Linked DNA regions of Oreochromis niloticus. The protein of the gene in region 1 interacts with the protein of each later gene in a pairwise test. Links are inferred from orthologs where the notes say so. Each region holds a gene or a part of one and is shown in the gene's direction. Other genes may lie near its edges.

Region 1 (7,696 bases):
GTCAAAGTTAAAAAACTTCACTGTGGTCTGTACTACAAAGCACAATCTGAGGTTTGCAAGGCAACTTTAGATTCACTTTTCTTGCTTTCAAGGCTGTTTAACACCTGGAGCTGCAGTTTTAATTTTAAAAAACAAAACAACTTCATTCCAGTCAGATCTACCTGTGCCTTAATGCCAGAACAGCAAAGCTGATAAAGCTATTGTCTTACACAGTTTTAGCCTGGACTATATTTTGAAAATCCTCAGATTTATTTAGGATAAAAGTTTTTCCTTCTTGCGAGCCGCTTTGCGATCTGATGCAGGCACAGCTGTGCTTACTATTAGACTCAAAAAGCCCGAGTTGGCTCACCAAAGGTATACCTTGTCACAGGTAAAGAAAGCTAAACTAAATAAATACAGCAAGTTATAGTTTGTGTTCGATATAATATGTGTCACAGGGCTTAGATGGGAAATGCTATGAATTAATTAGAAAAGTGTCTTAATAAAGTGGGTAAATGAAAACAGACTTGAACATGCGTTTGCAGTACAGCCACAGGTGTAAGCTGATGATTTAAATATCCATGTGTGAGATTGTCATACAGTATCTGGGTAAATTCAATAACTGTATCATCGAATGAAAATCTATTTAGAACTCTGTAAAGAAAAATTCTAATTTACTGACCTGAATGCTTTTTCTGGATCCATCCCGATCACTTTTGCCTCTATTTATGAAATTATGAATGCAGAAAAGTACTGTACTACACGCAATACCAACAGGAAAGACTGTCAGCATGAAACACACACACAAACAGTGAAAACATAGCTGGATAGGAAAACATAACCTGGAGAACTATTCCTGAAGACTAGCTCGCCTATGAGAGTTCAGGCTGTGTTTGGTCACACCAAACAATGACTTTCAAGCTCGTCACAACTGTATGTACTCTACTTTTTGCCTCAAATATTACATTTAGGTTTGCGTATTTTAATAAATCGCTGCACATATTTCCCATTCTCCTCAAAAAATATAAAGAAATGATGAGTGGCTCAAGATTTTTGCACAGTACTGTAGGTTGTCAAAACATTCAATTTCAGCCACAAATGGGAGCCTCGGAGATAAATTAGAGGAAAAGCAGAGGAATGAACTAAACAGCTATTTAGTCTCATATTTATGATGCACAGTGAGTGTGTAACACCATGGTACACACTGTAAACAGGCACTCCAAACAGCATACCCCTGCTATTTTGGAGACTATTCCTTGAACTCTATTAATTGGGCTATCAATCTTCTTAATGACAGTAATTTATTTAGGTTGGTCACATGGGCTGCTTCTTCCCATTCACAATCTTCTAATGAGCATTCAACACTAAAGCCATCTCTGCAGCAAAACAGCTGTAACTTATTGAAGTCTGTGTATAATTACGCCCTTTCCTCCTCACCCTTAGTAATGTTAACTGAGCCAATTATCTCCTTCAGCTCAAGGTTATTGTTTCTTAATTAAGAGTGGAGTATTAATCAAGTTAATAGTAGAATATCCCACTATTTGCCCACAGAAAGTTCCCTGCTCAAGGGTTTCCAAGCAACACATGCTCAAGCAGCTTGCGGGGTGTTATTTGTTGGTACCTGGTGCTGTGAAGTAGGCAGCAGGGAATGCCACATCCTGTAGCTCTGCATTGTGGGAGGCTGAGTTTGTAGAGGGGCTGTGGTGCAGATCTGACCAGTCGTTGCCTGTTATTCTGTCCAAGGCGTCACGCTGGAGGCAGATGGCCACTTGCTCCTTGCTGTCCTCTGCCTAAGAAGGAGGCGAGCCATTTGGTGTTTCTAGGATTAATGTTTCTGTCTGAATCTAAGGTGTCACGAGCAGCTCCAGGTTTACCTCTTAAATAAAATGAAACCAAAACTTTAAAAGTAATTACCTGATTCACGCTGCCATTCACCTGTCCTGTGATCATCAAACTGCCTGATAATAAGAAAAAAAAAAGAAAAAAAAGGATAATGAGAAAAAACAGGGAGGGACTGCAGGTATAGGTCTATCAGAAAAATGAACAAAGAGCGCCTCCCTCTGGTGGACACAAGCACAACATCATCACAAAGCACCTTACACAATCATGATGCCCATCAATAAAAGCAGAAATTATATCAGAGCGTCTGCAAAGCAAACCTAGAAAATAAAAGTCCACAAAGTAAGTGCTGTCAGTAAACTGTTGCCAGGTAGAGTTCACTAAATGGAATCAAGTGAAAAATCTAAAACGCATCCACTTTAACATTAAAAACAGGGGTTATTCAACCAACTCCCAGGCTGACTTCATTATACTGTAAGACACTTTTAGTAACTGTTGGGTTAACTGACCATTTCTTGGTGTAGATGATCAGTATCATGAAAAAGCGGGACAGTCATAAAATGAGCACAGTCCTTTTAATCGCTCTGTAAACAGAGTGATACAATATTATTACAATACTTCACTTGTGACTTGATATTATTGTGATTTAACATTTTACTCATAATTCTGAATATTGCAATAACATATTGTGATTTATCACCGTTTTCAACTGCAAATAATGTTGCAGTTACATGCAACGTGCTTCTAAAAAAAAAGCAGCAATTAACTGAAAATCATATATGTGCTGCTGTATACACAGAAAGAAGTTCACATGTAATTACTACATCTGTGCTCAACAGCCTTCCTGTTCTTTAGGACCAGAGTACAAGTAGCTGATACATAGAGCTGTACTCTGGGAATACTACGAATGAGAGGGCTGATCTCATGTATCACCATGCAGAGACAACGTTAGCAGAGCAAACTTACACGAAATCAACTCTGACCCCAAAACCATCCAACACACTTTTCTTGACAAAGCTACCTCCTAATTCAAAGCAAGCTCATGGCTCAGTCACATGAGTAAAAATAGGACAACAACCTTCTTAAATCTACACACACACACACACACACACACACACACACACACAAAAAAAATTACTTTTCACAGGTTGAATAACAGGAGGCAACCTTTCTGCAAAAAGTCGCAGTCTGACTTGGACCGACTGCAATCACTCTCAGACTGACTGTCGAATCTGAAGGTTTGCAAAATAACTGTTGTCTAATTTGTGAAGGCAGACAGATCACCAACATGTGACCATCAGTCTGAATGAGTCTGTATCAGTGAGCATGACTCGAGGGGACTTGAATCAACAGGCTGCTGCCTGGTTGTAATTTAGTTATATTCCTATAGAACATGAAGGCTAACATCATATTGGAAAATATGAAAAATCCCAATAATATCATATCGTGGTGTGTCTGATGATTCCCACCTCTCAATGTTAAACACAGTTCAAGTTTTCATGCCTGTGCTCTCAGGTTACATCAAAGACATAACAACAACAATAATAATAATTTTTCATTTAATTAAAAAAAAATCTATAATGCTAAAGAGCTTTAAAAGAAAAAGAAACCCGGAAAAACAAACATAAACCTTTAAATTATCTTAATTAAATCCATTGCTTAACCCCTTGAGCTACGCAGTAGACCAAACTAATGCACCTTATATTCATTGTATTCTAAAAATGTATTAATGATCCATAATTTAATAATAATGGAAACATAGTTGCTATCCCAGGAGGAAGTCTTATTACTTCAGCGGACTCTGGATGCTGGCTGCTGGTCCTTGCTGTTGTTTTTAGGCTATAATGACACGGGATATAAAACCTTAAATCAAAGACATAACAGACACCATTTAAAGCAACTCTGAAATTGCATAAACTGTACAGCTGTGCTCGGTGATGTCCTGATGACCGCTCGTCCTGGGACAGATGTTTTTACACTCCTGTCTAGACTGGTGTAGCCAAACGCACACACACCAACGATAACACCACATCACGATTAAACCATCTGAACAAACAGCGATGAAGCAGTTATCACACAAAGATCTCGTGAATTCTGTCATTCCTTTCAAAATGTTCTCCAGTCTGAAAAACTGGAAGTGACCCACCTTCCAGCAGCTTGCGGACCGCTGCTTTGTGGCCAGCTCCCCCTGCGTGGCTGGTAAGAGCAGCCTCGCCCATCGTCTGAAGTTTGATTGATTTGCAACAGGCCCTGCATCGGGCAAAATGAATGTCCTGGACGTCCTTAACCAGCCAGTCCTTGTAAACATCCTTTGCGAGCCAGGAATCTTGGAATTTACATTTGCCAGGCATAGTTAGCTCTAAAAGTTAGCTGGACCGCTACCTCCCAGCCTGGAGCAACCTCTTACATTATATACTGCCTCGTGATGCGTTCACGTGTTCTCCGAGGATTTGAAGACACAATTACGCTGTGGCGCACGAATCTTTTGGCATTAGGTTACAAAATATCGTGAAAACGTTATAATTTAAACGCTGAGATAATTAACATGACTTTCCAGTTATGTACCCCAAATCCCACTGAAGTAGGCAACGCAGTAGAGTCAGAGTGCCTGAATCTCATCACTACAGGTGCAGCTGTGGAATTAAAATGATAATAATGGCTTTTTGTATAACGAAGTGGAAGTATAAGCGCTTTGAAACTTCTTAGTAGGTATCCTGATATTTTAAGATAAATGCCTGCGACTAGGGCTACTGACTGAGTTTGAGCGAACATCCTTAAACGCAGCATAACATAGAAGGCTGTCCCTCACGTGCACAGAGTTCACCAATAAAAATACGATTAACCTCCTACTAGCCAATCAGCGTTGAGAATGCCGGTAGTCCAGCTTGATTGGTTGAAACCCGGCAAGAACGTCTGTACAGAAACACATGGGTACCAGACTGCCTTTTGGTGGACGTTAATAATGATCTTATAACGTTTCTGAACACTTTCCTGCATTGGGAGCGTGTGTAAGTAGGCACGCCGCGATATTATTGTTTACCTGTTAAAGTTTTCTGCCGTTGGATATCTTATTCCTTTCCAAATAAGACGAGAAGAACTCCTTCTGTTAGCTTGTTTTGCTAATCATAAGGGTAATGCTCACTCAGCATTGGACGTTAGTAAATACAACAGCAGACTGCACTACCCGGAGTCTCAGCATTCTTTAAAGTACGATTTGTGATTTGTAAGTTAAAACTGCATATCTTCCATTCATAACGGTCTTATTTTTTCGGCTGCTCTCTTTAGGGGTCGCCACAGCGGGTCATCTGTCTGTATCCCACCGTATCCCTGTCATGTGCCTTTGGTGACCGCAGTTAATCATTAAGTGATGGAGACGGTGGCCCTGGTTGCTCCAGTTACAGCTTTGGAGTTCCTTCAGGATGCATTTCTAATTAAAGGTTAGTGTTCAACATACAAGATAAGCAAGTGGTTATTCTTGTGATGCACTGCTGTGCTTTATCCACAGTGCTTCTATATTAACTGCATTTTTGTTACGAGTTCTTTATTGTTAAACTTTAACTTATTCAGAACTTCTTCATTTTGTATCTGTGCCACGTTCTCTTTGTAACTCTGGTTGCTGTAATGGTTGGCTTGAACTTTAGAGTTCCAAATTTTGTTAAGTACTGCACAATACAAACACAGACAAACACGCACAACTTTTCTTTTGTGGCAGGTGAGGGTCCGGTCTTGTCGGTGTACAGACTCAAGCCTCGCCCTAAAGCCTGTGCCTCTTTGAGCGTTCTCCATCATTACCGGATTCATGGAATAAGACCCAGAAGGTGGGAAGCTGTGCCATCACGGAGTGCCGGTTAGTATGAGCTGATGCTTTTTGGGGGGGTTTTTTTGTCTTTTTTTGTTTGATTGTTTTTAGTATATGTTAATATATAGAGAAAATTATTTACAAAGCGATAAGAAAGTGAAAGAGAAGCAAGTCTGGAACCAAGAATGGATTCTCAGCAATGATAAAAGTTAAATTATAAACAATTATTTATTGCGTATTTAAACTTTTTATTCACGTAAAGCCTCTAGCTATTTTTGCTCTAATTTTTCAATTTTAAAACATTTTTAATATACATAATTTTTTTGCTCTTATTCACCAGCACTGAGCACTACAGAGCCAAATGTCTGTGACCTTGCAGTATTTGGAGGCAAAGCTGTGAGGCTTGTAAGGTTCCGCGTGGAGGATGGGGAGCAACTTCGCCTGGAGGTCCTGGGCCCCCTCATGGAGCTACAGGACTGGGCTCTGGATGTCCGCTGGCTCTCTGAAGACAAACAGCCACTGCTGTGTGTGGCTCTTGCTCATAATAGTGCTCTTCTCTTGGATGTCGCAAAAGGAAATGCCCTGGTGCAGCGTACCTGTCTGGAGGGCTGTTTGCTGTACTCTGCTCTTCTTCTGGTTCATGAATCCTGGGTGGATACTGTCATAGTTGGAGGGACTGTGTTCAATCAGCTGGTTCTCTGGAAGCCCGGAGGAGGAGACAAAAGTAGCAATCCTGAAAACAAGGCTCCAATTGAAAGGCGTCTACTGGGCCACACTGGGGTCATCTTCAGTATCTCTTACCTCCAGGAGAAAGGATATTTAGCTTCAGCCTCTGATGACCGCAGTGTACGGGTGTGGGGTGTTGGCACTTTAGGTGGGCCTGAAGGGAAATGTGGGGACTTGAACCCAGTTTGTTTAAGGATCCTATATGGACATCAGGCCAGGGTGTTCTCAGTCCATCTCTCATCAGGGAATATCTTCAGCGCTGGGGAAGATGGGACCTGTTTAGTCTGGGACTGGGCTGGAAGCGGGAAGGTGGTTCGCACGTTGAAGGGACACCGAGCAGGGGGTGTTCGTGCACTGGCAGTCAGTGAGGGAGAGGAAGCGAGCTGGGTGGCTACAGGAGGGGCGGATGGAGGGGTAAGGTTGTGGCGAGTGGAGGGCAATGAGAAGAAGGTGTGTCTAGAGGAGGAGGCAGTGACAGAGAAACTGACTGACCTGAAATTTCCTGGTCAAGGCCTGCCTAAAGTTGTTTGCTTAGCAGGAGAAGAGGATGGCAGTACAAGCTGGAGTCAGTGTAAGCCTGTAGTTTGCACTGACAAAGGAGTAGTTTACCAGTATAATGTTGGGAAGTGGGAAGTAGTGTGGAATGGGACTCCAGAGTTCCAGTCCTACTGTGTGATGGAAACGATAACTATCACTGTGAAGGAGTCGACAACCAAAGTTGATTTGTGTGCTGTGGGAAACCTCAGTGGGTGCTTACAGATCTTTCCCATGTCTCATCCTCAGTCTGGAATTCTGCTTACATGTGGATCAGGGAAGATCCATACTCTTATTTGGCACAAGGGAAAAGAGTGTGCGTATTTGTTAGCTTCAGGTGCTGAAGGACGTGTCTATCGCTGGTGTGTAGAGACAAAATTCAGTGAAACCTGTTCTTTAGCTCTCAGCATCACTGCTCTACCTTCTTTCCTCCTCCCCTCGTGCGCTAAGCGCTGGCTTACAGCTGCAGTGCGCCTCCAGTGCAGGTCAAGGGAGGTGCTTTGGGTGTGTGGAGACAGGAGAGGATCCCTGCTTCTGTTTCAGGAAAGAGAAAACTCAAAGCAAAGAAAAGGAGATGGTGAGGACACAAATGAAGAATTACTGACAGATGGTAAACAAGGTGATAATGAGGAAAGCGGGTCTGAGGCAGAGGGGAAAGGCAAGATGGAGAATGAAGAAAGCAAAGAGATGCATGACCTGTTGCTGCATCCTCTGAGCTGTCTGTTTGGGGTGCACGGGAAACAAGGTGTAACCTCAGTGTATGAGTACCAAGGCTTGTTCTACAGCACTGGCAGGGACGGCTGTGTTAGAGTTTTCAGA
Region 2 (7,513 bases), on another chromosome or scaffold:
CATCTGGAAGTTTAGCCAGAAAACTGAAAATATATTATTAAGGTTTATGCAACAGGACAATACTACTGTCAGTTTACCCATAAAGAAAAGAACTCCATACTTTTAATCTGGCCCTTACATATTATTTCTTTTGCAGCTAAATTATTTATTAGCAATTGTCCAATATTGAAGGAGGAACCTAAAACTGGCAGGGATCCTGAACTGTTCCAGTTAACTTTTACCTTATTCCATGTTTTTAAAAAAAATTCTACATCTAATTTTGAAAGTTAATTCTCAGGGTGACTTTGTCTCCCCCCCCCCCCCCCCCCCCCCCCCCCCGCCAAGAGGTACACTTTGTTTTCTGTTCCTGTTGGTTATATGTGGTTTTTGGTTTGTTTGGTGATTATTTTTGTACCCTGATGACCTTTAAAAGCAGACTGTATTTTTGGTTCTGTTCCTGATATGATGTCACCCCTGTGGCATCGACTTACGTAGCGATTATGTTTACTTTGGCGTATCGCACTTAACTGAGGTGGTCATGTCATTTTTTTTTCTCTGTTTCTGAAATAGTGGAACAGAATAATTTAAACTTTGATTCATTATCTAATAGATTCAAAGGGTTGGCTGTGTTTTCCTTGTGTGTTTGTCCACTCTGACTCTGATGAAGGCACAGTAGTGTTGAAATCTCACTCTGTTTGCATAAGTCACGACTGTGAATTTAACTTGTTTGCTTCCTGTCATTCATAATGCCACAGCTCACTCCCAATAAGAAAGGATAGTAAAAGTCACTTCGGCACAAATTTGGGATCCCCACGGTGTTTGTCTTTCAATTGTATTTCAAGTTGAGTTGCTGATGTCACTGAATCTTGGGGGGGGGCATAATTAGGAATTTCTGTTTCCTAGAATAAAGACTTGCTTTGCGGGATGCTATACCAGCCGATTTCCCCACAAGGCTTCCGGGATTTCTTTGACACGTTATAGTGTCCTGTAACACTTCTCTAATCTTATCTGAAATTAAACGCGTCTTCAATTGTGACATTTTAACATGATCTGGCACGAGGTCCCACCAAATAACATTCAAGTGATGCAACAAAAATAGAGGTGGGCTTTTTTCCCTACATCTAGTACAATTCCCTGCCCTTTCAGCCTCTCCACAGACAAGAATACTAGTCAGTTGTTGGTCAGTACCTGATGAAGGTGGTTTTCCCAGTGGAGTACTGGCCGACCAGCAGTACCATGGGTTTACTCTGGAAGTCAGCAGCCTCTAGGGCCGGGGAGTGGAAGTCATGGAAGAGGTAGGTCTCTTCCAGCGGCAGCAGCTTCTTGGTGTAGAGAGTCTGCAGTCCCTCCGTAACGGTCTGGTACATCTCTCCTTCTTTGTTGCTGCCACCCTGCTCCTGTTTGACCCAGCTGAACATGCTTTCTGCTGTGTTCTGTATCCAACTTCCTTGTTTCGATGTTTCCAAATATTGCGGCTGTTTTCGCCTCCTTCTCTGTGAGCTCCGTCCTTAGCCTGAGCGGAGGGAACTGTGTGTGTCTGGCTCCACGGAATCTCTGCTACTCTCAGCACTGTGCCTCCTCTGTGTGCTGCTCTGGGCGTGTGTTGGTGATGTGGAGGGTGCTGATGTGCTTACCTGGGGGCACCGCCCTTCCCCCGTGACGACACAGACTCTCTCTCACACACACACACGCATAACGCACATACGGGGACGTTTCAAGAATGTTCTGACAGGGTATCACAGAAGCCTCCGCAACAGCACAGGAGTGCTTTCGCCACATCTAGCGACAAATCTGAATATTTGCTCACAAACAAATCCTGTGGAGACATTAAACACATGGATAGTTTTTTAGGCCCTCATACAGATGTATGACATGAAAGTAAGTAAAAACTAACTGTAGCCTAATTAAGCCACGGATGGAATAGTACGGAAGGTTTAACTTGAACTAAAAGTGCTCATTATGCAGACTCATATAAATGAGAGTAGCGATTAGATCATAATACTGATTCATTAATGTTTCTATTCCTTTAATAAAGCAACAGGAGATGGTTCTAGTTACTTTAGGCTTAATCTGTAATAATGCAGTAACATATATTAGTATAAGTATAATGATAAGTAACTAAAGCCAACATACAGTAACTTCAATCAAACTATTTTAAAGTAGAAAGCCGAAAAGTAGAAACACTCAAAGGACAGTAATCAAGTAAATATACTAAGTTACTTTCCACCACTAAACTGTCCTTTAGTGGTGGAAAGTAACTTAGGACAGCGAAGAAAGTGAGACAGGTGCAACAATATATGTTAAATAGTGCCATGAAAAAATATTTGCCTACTTCTTGATTTGTTAGTTTGTTTTTTTTTTAAATATTTATCACATTTAAATGTTTCAGATCATGAAATACTACTACTACTATTAATAATAATGGTAATAAACACAGATAAACTGTGTAAATACAGTTTTTAAATGATAATGTGAAAATAGAGCTGCATGTTGTTATAGGGAGGTGCTGTCCTGTAGCACCCACTGTTACTAAAAAACAAATGCAGCGTGTGTGTTCTATAAGGATTAAATTGCTGGAAGTTAAAATAGTCAAGGGCCAAAACAGAAATTGTCATTTTAAACATATTTATTTTTTTGGCTGATCCTGGTATTGTATAATTTAAAAGGGTGTACACCTTCCCTTTCAGTGGATCATGCAGTAGCAAAATGAGACCAAGCACAGTAGCAAATCTAAAAAGAAAAAAATATCATGGTGTTGCAACCAGCCAGTGAAAGTCCAGACATCAGCCTGACTGAAATACTGTAGTGAGTTATTAAGAGAGCTATTCATAAAGGAATATCTGTAAACATCAATGAATTGAAGTAACATTTTTTTAAAGAAGAGTTGACTAAAATTCCCCCACAGTGATGTGGGAGAAAATTGGACAAAAAAATCTTCGTCCTTCAAGTGACTTATTACTGGCATAGGTGGTTCCTCAAGCTACTGAATCTTATTGACTTACTTACTTGCTTTTTCACAAACTGTTTCTGCATATTTGCTTAGTGTTTATTAATAAATAACAACACTGTGTATTATGTCATGTTTTGTAGTTTCAGTTTCAGTTTTCAGTTTTATTTGTCATATGCAAGTTAGCACAGGGTCAACATTGCAATGAAATGTATTTGACGAGCAGAAGACAGTCACTCAGCAGAATGGTACAGTAGAAAAAATAGTAAAGGGCAAAATATTAATCTTTTTTCTTTTACTATATTTTATTAACAGTTAACAGACTAAATATATATATGTATATATAAATATATGCACAAACTAGTGATTAAATAAAGAAAATCTTAAATAGGATTGTGAGGGGGGGGGGGGGGGGGGGTGGCAAATGGGATATTGCACAGTGGCAGGAATGAGCAGCAGTACAGACTGAACAGTACAAAAATTTTTTGGCAGTTAGTACAGTATTGCACTTTTTTTTCCCCCTAATATAAATACCAATAAAGTGGAGTGACCAGTGCAGATTGTACAGTGTACTTGTGCAGCTGCAGGGTAGCTTCTGAGTGCATCCTGTGGAGTGCGTTGTGTGTGTTTAAGTGTTGTGGTTGAGGTGTCGTATGGCTTGATGTTAGAAACTGTTTTTAAGACTTGTAGTCCGAGCAGACAGACTCCTGTAACGTCTGCCAGATGGTAACAAGGAGAAGAGCTTATGTGCTGAGTGGCTGTGGTCTTTGATGATGCTGTGTGCTGTGCGGAGGCATCGTTGAAGATAAATGTCCTGACTGGTCGTTTCCGGTAGTCCACTATCATTTCTCTAGTTTTGCTGATGTTGAGAGACAGGTTATTTTCCAGACACCACTTGTACAGTGCCATCACCTCCTCTCTATAGGCCGTCTCATCGTTGTCTGTGATGTGGTTGTGTCATCCGCAAACATGATGATGATGTTGGACTCATGTTTAGCAACACAGTCGGCTAAGCACACAACCCTGTGGCGTTCCTGTGTTTAGAATGAGTGATGAGGAGGTGTGCTTACCAACTCTCACCACCTGGGGCCTGTTTGTGAGGAAGTTTGGAATCCATCTGCAGATTTGTGTTCCTAGCCCAAGGTCAACAAGCTTCGTGGCAAGTTTTGAGGGGAAGATGGTGTTAAATGCCGAGCTGTAGTCAATGAAGAGGTTGTATTTACCTAATTTTAAGACCTGCTAAAAACCATATTATTATTAATATTGTTATTATTCAAAAGTCCAAATGATGAGATCCTGTGTCAAAGTCATAACTTTTAACTCAAGTTAATTTTGAAATACCAAGTGTGTATCATGATTACCAAAGTTACATTTTAGTAAAATTCTTATAACTTTACCTACCTTAAAAATGTAGTTTGTGTATATATTATGGAGACACTGTTTTTAATCCAGATTTATTTCCTTCACATATCTTAGTTTTTCGCCATCTGTTGAGATGTTTAATATTATTGAAAGCATTATCAACACCAACCATCAGGGGGCGCACGTGTAGGCAAATGAAAGCCTAGTGCGAAAAAGCCTCTAAAGCAAACGAAGAAGAGGCGGAAGCGGAAATCAGATTCTTTTGTTTTGAAAGAGGGAAATTTAAAAACTCGACGGCTCCACGGCGTTAGTCGGAAATAAACAAAAGCATTTGGAGTAAGCCTTCAAAAAACGACAGGAAAATGGACGCAAACTAACACTCGTCACCCCTGAATGTAAAGTAAGTCACCGGAGAAACATTTTGTAGTGTTTAGGTTGCGTTTGAAACCGAGCTTTTCTTTGATGTCAACGTCTCAGCTGAACTGAGACAGCTCAGCAGAATGTGTTCAAACTCCTATTTTCTTTCTTAGTTTGTCTTTCGTAATGCACTTAGTAATGCACTTAATGTATTTTTCCGACTAAATGTTTACAGATAGGAGTATAATGGAGTAGCTATAACGCAATGTTAGGCATCGTGGAACATTTGGTCAGTTACTGTCATAACTGACTGTAGGTCTGTCGATCTTAACATAGCGGAAGCTTTTAGAGCTGCCACAGAAAATAATTCCACTGTTTTTATTGTTTTTATAGTTTCTATAATATTATAATTAAATACTAATTTTAGTTGTATTTAAGGAAATATCAAAAGAAGAATCCTTCCAGACATAAAGATTAACTTTTTATTATTGTTGTTATTTATTTTTATTTAGCTGATATTATTATCTGTGTTTTTTGTTGTTTTCGGTGTGTGTGTAACAAAACACAATGAGACATCACTGTAAGACTTTCAGGCTCGATTAACCTTATGAGAGGCCGTCAGTGACTTCCAGTATTTAACCCTGTTTCTAATAAAGTGAGACTTCTTTGTAAAATGTAAATAAAATCAAAAGAAAATATTATTTTTGCTAAAAAAAAAATATGCTTGTTCAATTCAATTTGTATTTTAACCGTATGTTTAAAAAAAAAGAAGAAGCTTCAAACAGGCTGAATAAAAAATGAAAAATGCAGATTAATCTGAAAGGCTGACTAAATAATTTAAGAGCAGTGTTTCTGCCTAAATAATTGCCTGGAGGTGATACCAGGATGGTTGCTGAAGTGAAATGGATAAAACAGTCCTTTTGCCCGACTAATAAAAACGTGATGTATTTCTTGGAAATGTAGGAGCAGCTGTAGGCATGTCCTCCCAGGTAATAAAGAAAGAGCACGAAAGCACCTGAAAGGAGGCTTGTTTGTTTTTTAAACTATTACATCCGTAAAGGCACCATGAATGCTAAAGGATACATTACGTTAAAATAAATATTGTTGTCTCTTCAGTTCTCAGACATTCTACATGTATTTTATTGTTAAAGTTTACACTGAAGGGGAGTTTTTTTTTTTAACTTTCTACTGTTATTTGTTTAATTAAAAAATATATTTTTGTGATGAGTCAAATTGTTCTTGTTATATAATGTCATTTTTGTAATTTCATAATGAATTTGCTTGAAATGTATGCATATATGCAAGTGGTGCGGGACTTACTATTAGAGCTCAAACAAATTTGAGCTCTAAATTTTATGTTGAACTTTAGCTTCACTTTCAGTTTAATGACCGGACAGTCACAGGTATTTGGGGCTAGAATATGTCTGTAAATTCATTCCAAACCATTTTTACGAGAAAACGAGTAACAATGGGAAAGCTTGGGAGTTTATCATCAACCTGAATTCTTTTCAGGGAAGTCAAATATGGTCAGCTGTTCAATAACCCGCTGCGTTATGTAGTGAGCATGTAGTCAGCATGTTGTGATGACAGTGTTTGTAAAAGCTCAGTAAATGTGGTCTTTCATTTTCTTGCAGGTTGATTCACACAAACATGAAGAAGAAGGCAAGGAGGTCGCAGGAGACGCACACAAACAGTGTCCAGGAGGAGTGTGAGTGACTTTCACACACAGTTGGAAGTCAATATGTGCTGCTGCTGTTTTTTAGTTGACTAATGTGTATTTGAACCACCTTTTGACTACTAATTCCAACCACTGTGTGTTGTGTGTTAGGCTTGACTTTTCAGCTCTGTTGTGTTGGCGCTGTGGTTTTAGATGTAGTGCTCTTACTGTTAAAAAAAAAAAAATCACCAACTAAAGCTATATCTTCACATTTCTCACTTACATACGTTAAAACCTTAATGAGCATTAATGATGATGTCTTTTAGGGCCTTGAGAAAGCATTTTCAGTTGAATGAAAGTTTGCATATTTTGTGTGTATCTGCAGGCTGTGCTCTGTGTAGGTGCAGTGATGATGACCCAGCCATGTTTGGGGAGAAAGTCACACTCAAAGAACATAAAATCTCTGTCCACTACTTCTGCTTGGTAAGACAAAGCCTGCAAGTATTTCTGTTTTCACAGGAATATGTCTTTTTCAGGCTTCAAGCGGTCATACTTTATTGAGACTTGCTTTACAAGTGCCTGACCAACAGTTATAGCATTAAAAATATTCTTTCTGAAAGACTTGTACAAACCAAGACACAATCGAATATAAAAATAAATAAATAAAACAAGCAAACAAAGCAGGAAATGATTTATTCTATGACCTCATTATGATTTAAGTGAATTTATTTGGAGGTAAATATTAGAGGAGGGAGCATAGTCACCACAAAACAAGAGGGCTCATGGTTTGTATTTTTCTGTCCCACAAATAAAGTGACAATGACGTATTTTCTTATATTAAAAATGCTTTAAAAGGGTCTGTTTGTTAAGAGTGTGTCTTAATAATATTGTATGCATGTGTTTGTCTCAGCTAACGTCTTGTGGAGTTTATCAGCGAGGAGAGGAAGACGAAGGCATCTTTGGTTTCCTGGTGGAGGACATCAAACAGGAGGTCCGCCGGTCGACTCGACTGGTGAGCAGTTCAGTATTACAATATTACCTTGCATATACTAAGAGCTCTACAGTATCTTACAAAAGTGAATACACCCCTTACTTTTTGGAAATATTTTATTATATCTTTCCAAGGGATAACACTCTGATACAATGTAAAGTAATCAGTGTACAGCTTGTAGGACAGTGTAAATCATACTGGTCATTAGTAGTTCAACATG

The links. The genes of interacting proteins can lie anywhere in the genome.
Region 2: the proteins of wdr6 (region 1) and g2e3 interact in a two-hybrid assay, tested with the Homo sapiens proteins (2 studies listed by BioGRID and IntAct). The two-hybrid records come from large-scale screens. The link is inferred for Oreochromis niloticus from reciprocal best matches to the Homo sapiens genes WDR6 and G2E3.

What each region holds. Positions count from the first base shown.
Region 1 is NC_031984.2:25,360,235-25,367,930, reverse strand, and holds the start of wdr6 (tRNA (34-2'-O)-methyltransferase regulator WDR6), read left to right. Parts: upstream 1-4,675; 5' UTR 4,676-4,826; intron 4,827-4,834; exon of another isoform or gene 4,835-5,025; intron 5,026-5,103; 5' UTR 5,104-5,185; coding exon 5,186-5,255; intron 5,256-5,530; coding exon 5,531-5,665; intron 5,666-5,957; coding exon 5,958-7,696. Other genes in the region: uncharacterized protein fsbp, read right to left, coding at 1,601-1,769, 1,894-1,937, 3,965-4,169. UniProt on the Homo sapiens protein: Together with methyltransferase FTSJ1, methylates the 2'-O-ribose of nucleotides at position 34 of the tRNA anticodon loop of substrate tRNAs. Required for the correct positioning of the substrate tRNA for methylation.
Region 2 is NC_031983.2:3,798,907-3,806,419, reverse strand, and holds the start of g2e3 (G2/M phase-specific E3 ubiquitin-protein ligase), read left to right. Parts: upstream 1-4,511; 5' UTR 4,512-4,688; intron 4,689-6,279; 5' UTR 6,280-6,295; coding exon 6,296-6,353; intron 6,354-6,687; coding exon 6,688-6,785; intron 6,786-7,212; coding exon 7,213-7,314; intron 7,315-7,513. Other genes in the region: ehd4 (EH domain-containing protein 4), read right to left, coding at 1,168-1,397. UniProt on the Homo sapiens protein: E3 ubiquitin-protein ligase which accepts ubiquitin from an E2 ubiquitin-conjugating enzyme in the form of a thioester and then directly transfers the ubiquitin to targeted substrates. Essential in early embryonic development to prevent apoptotic death.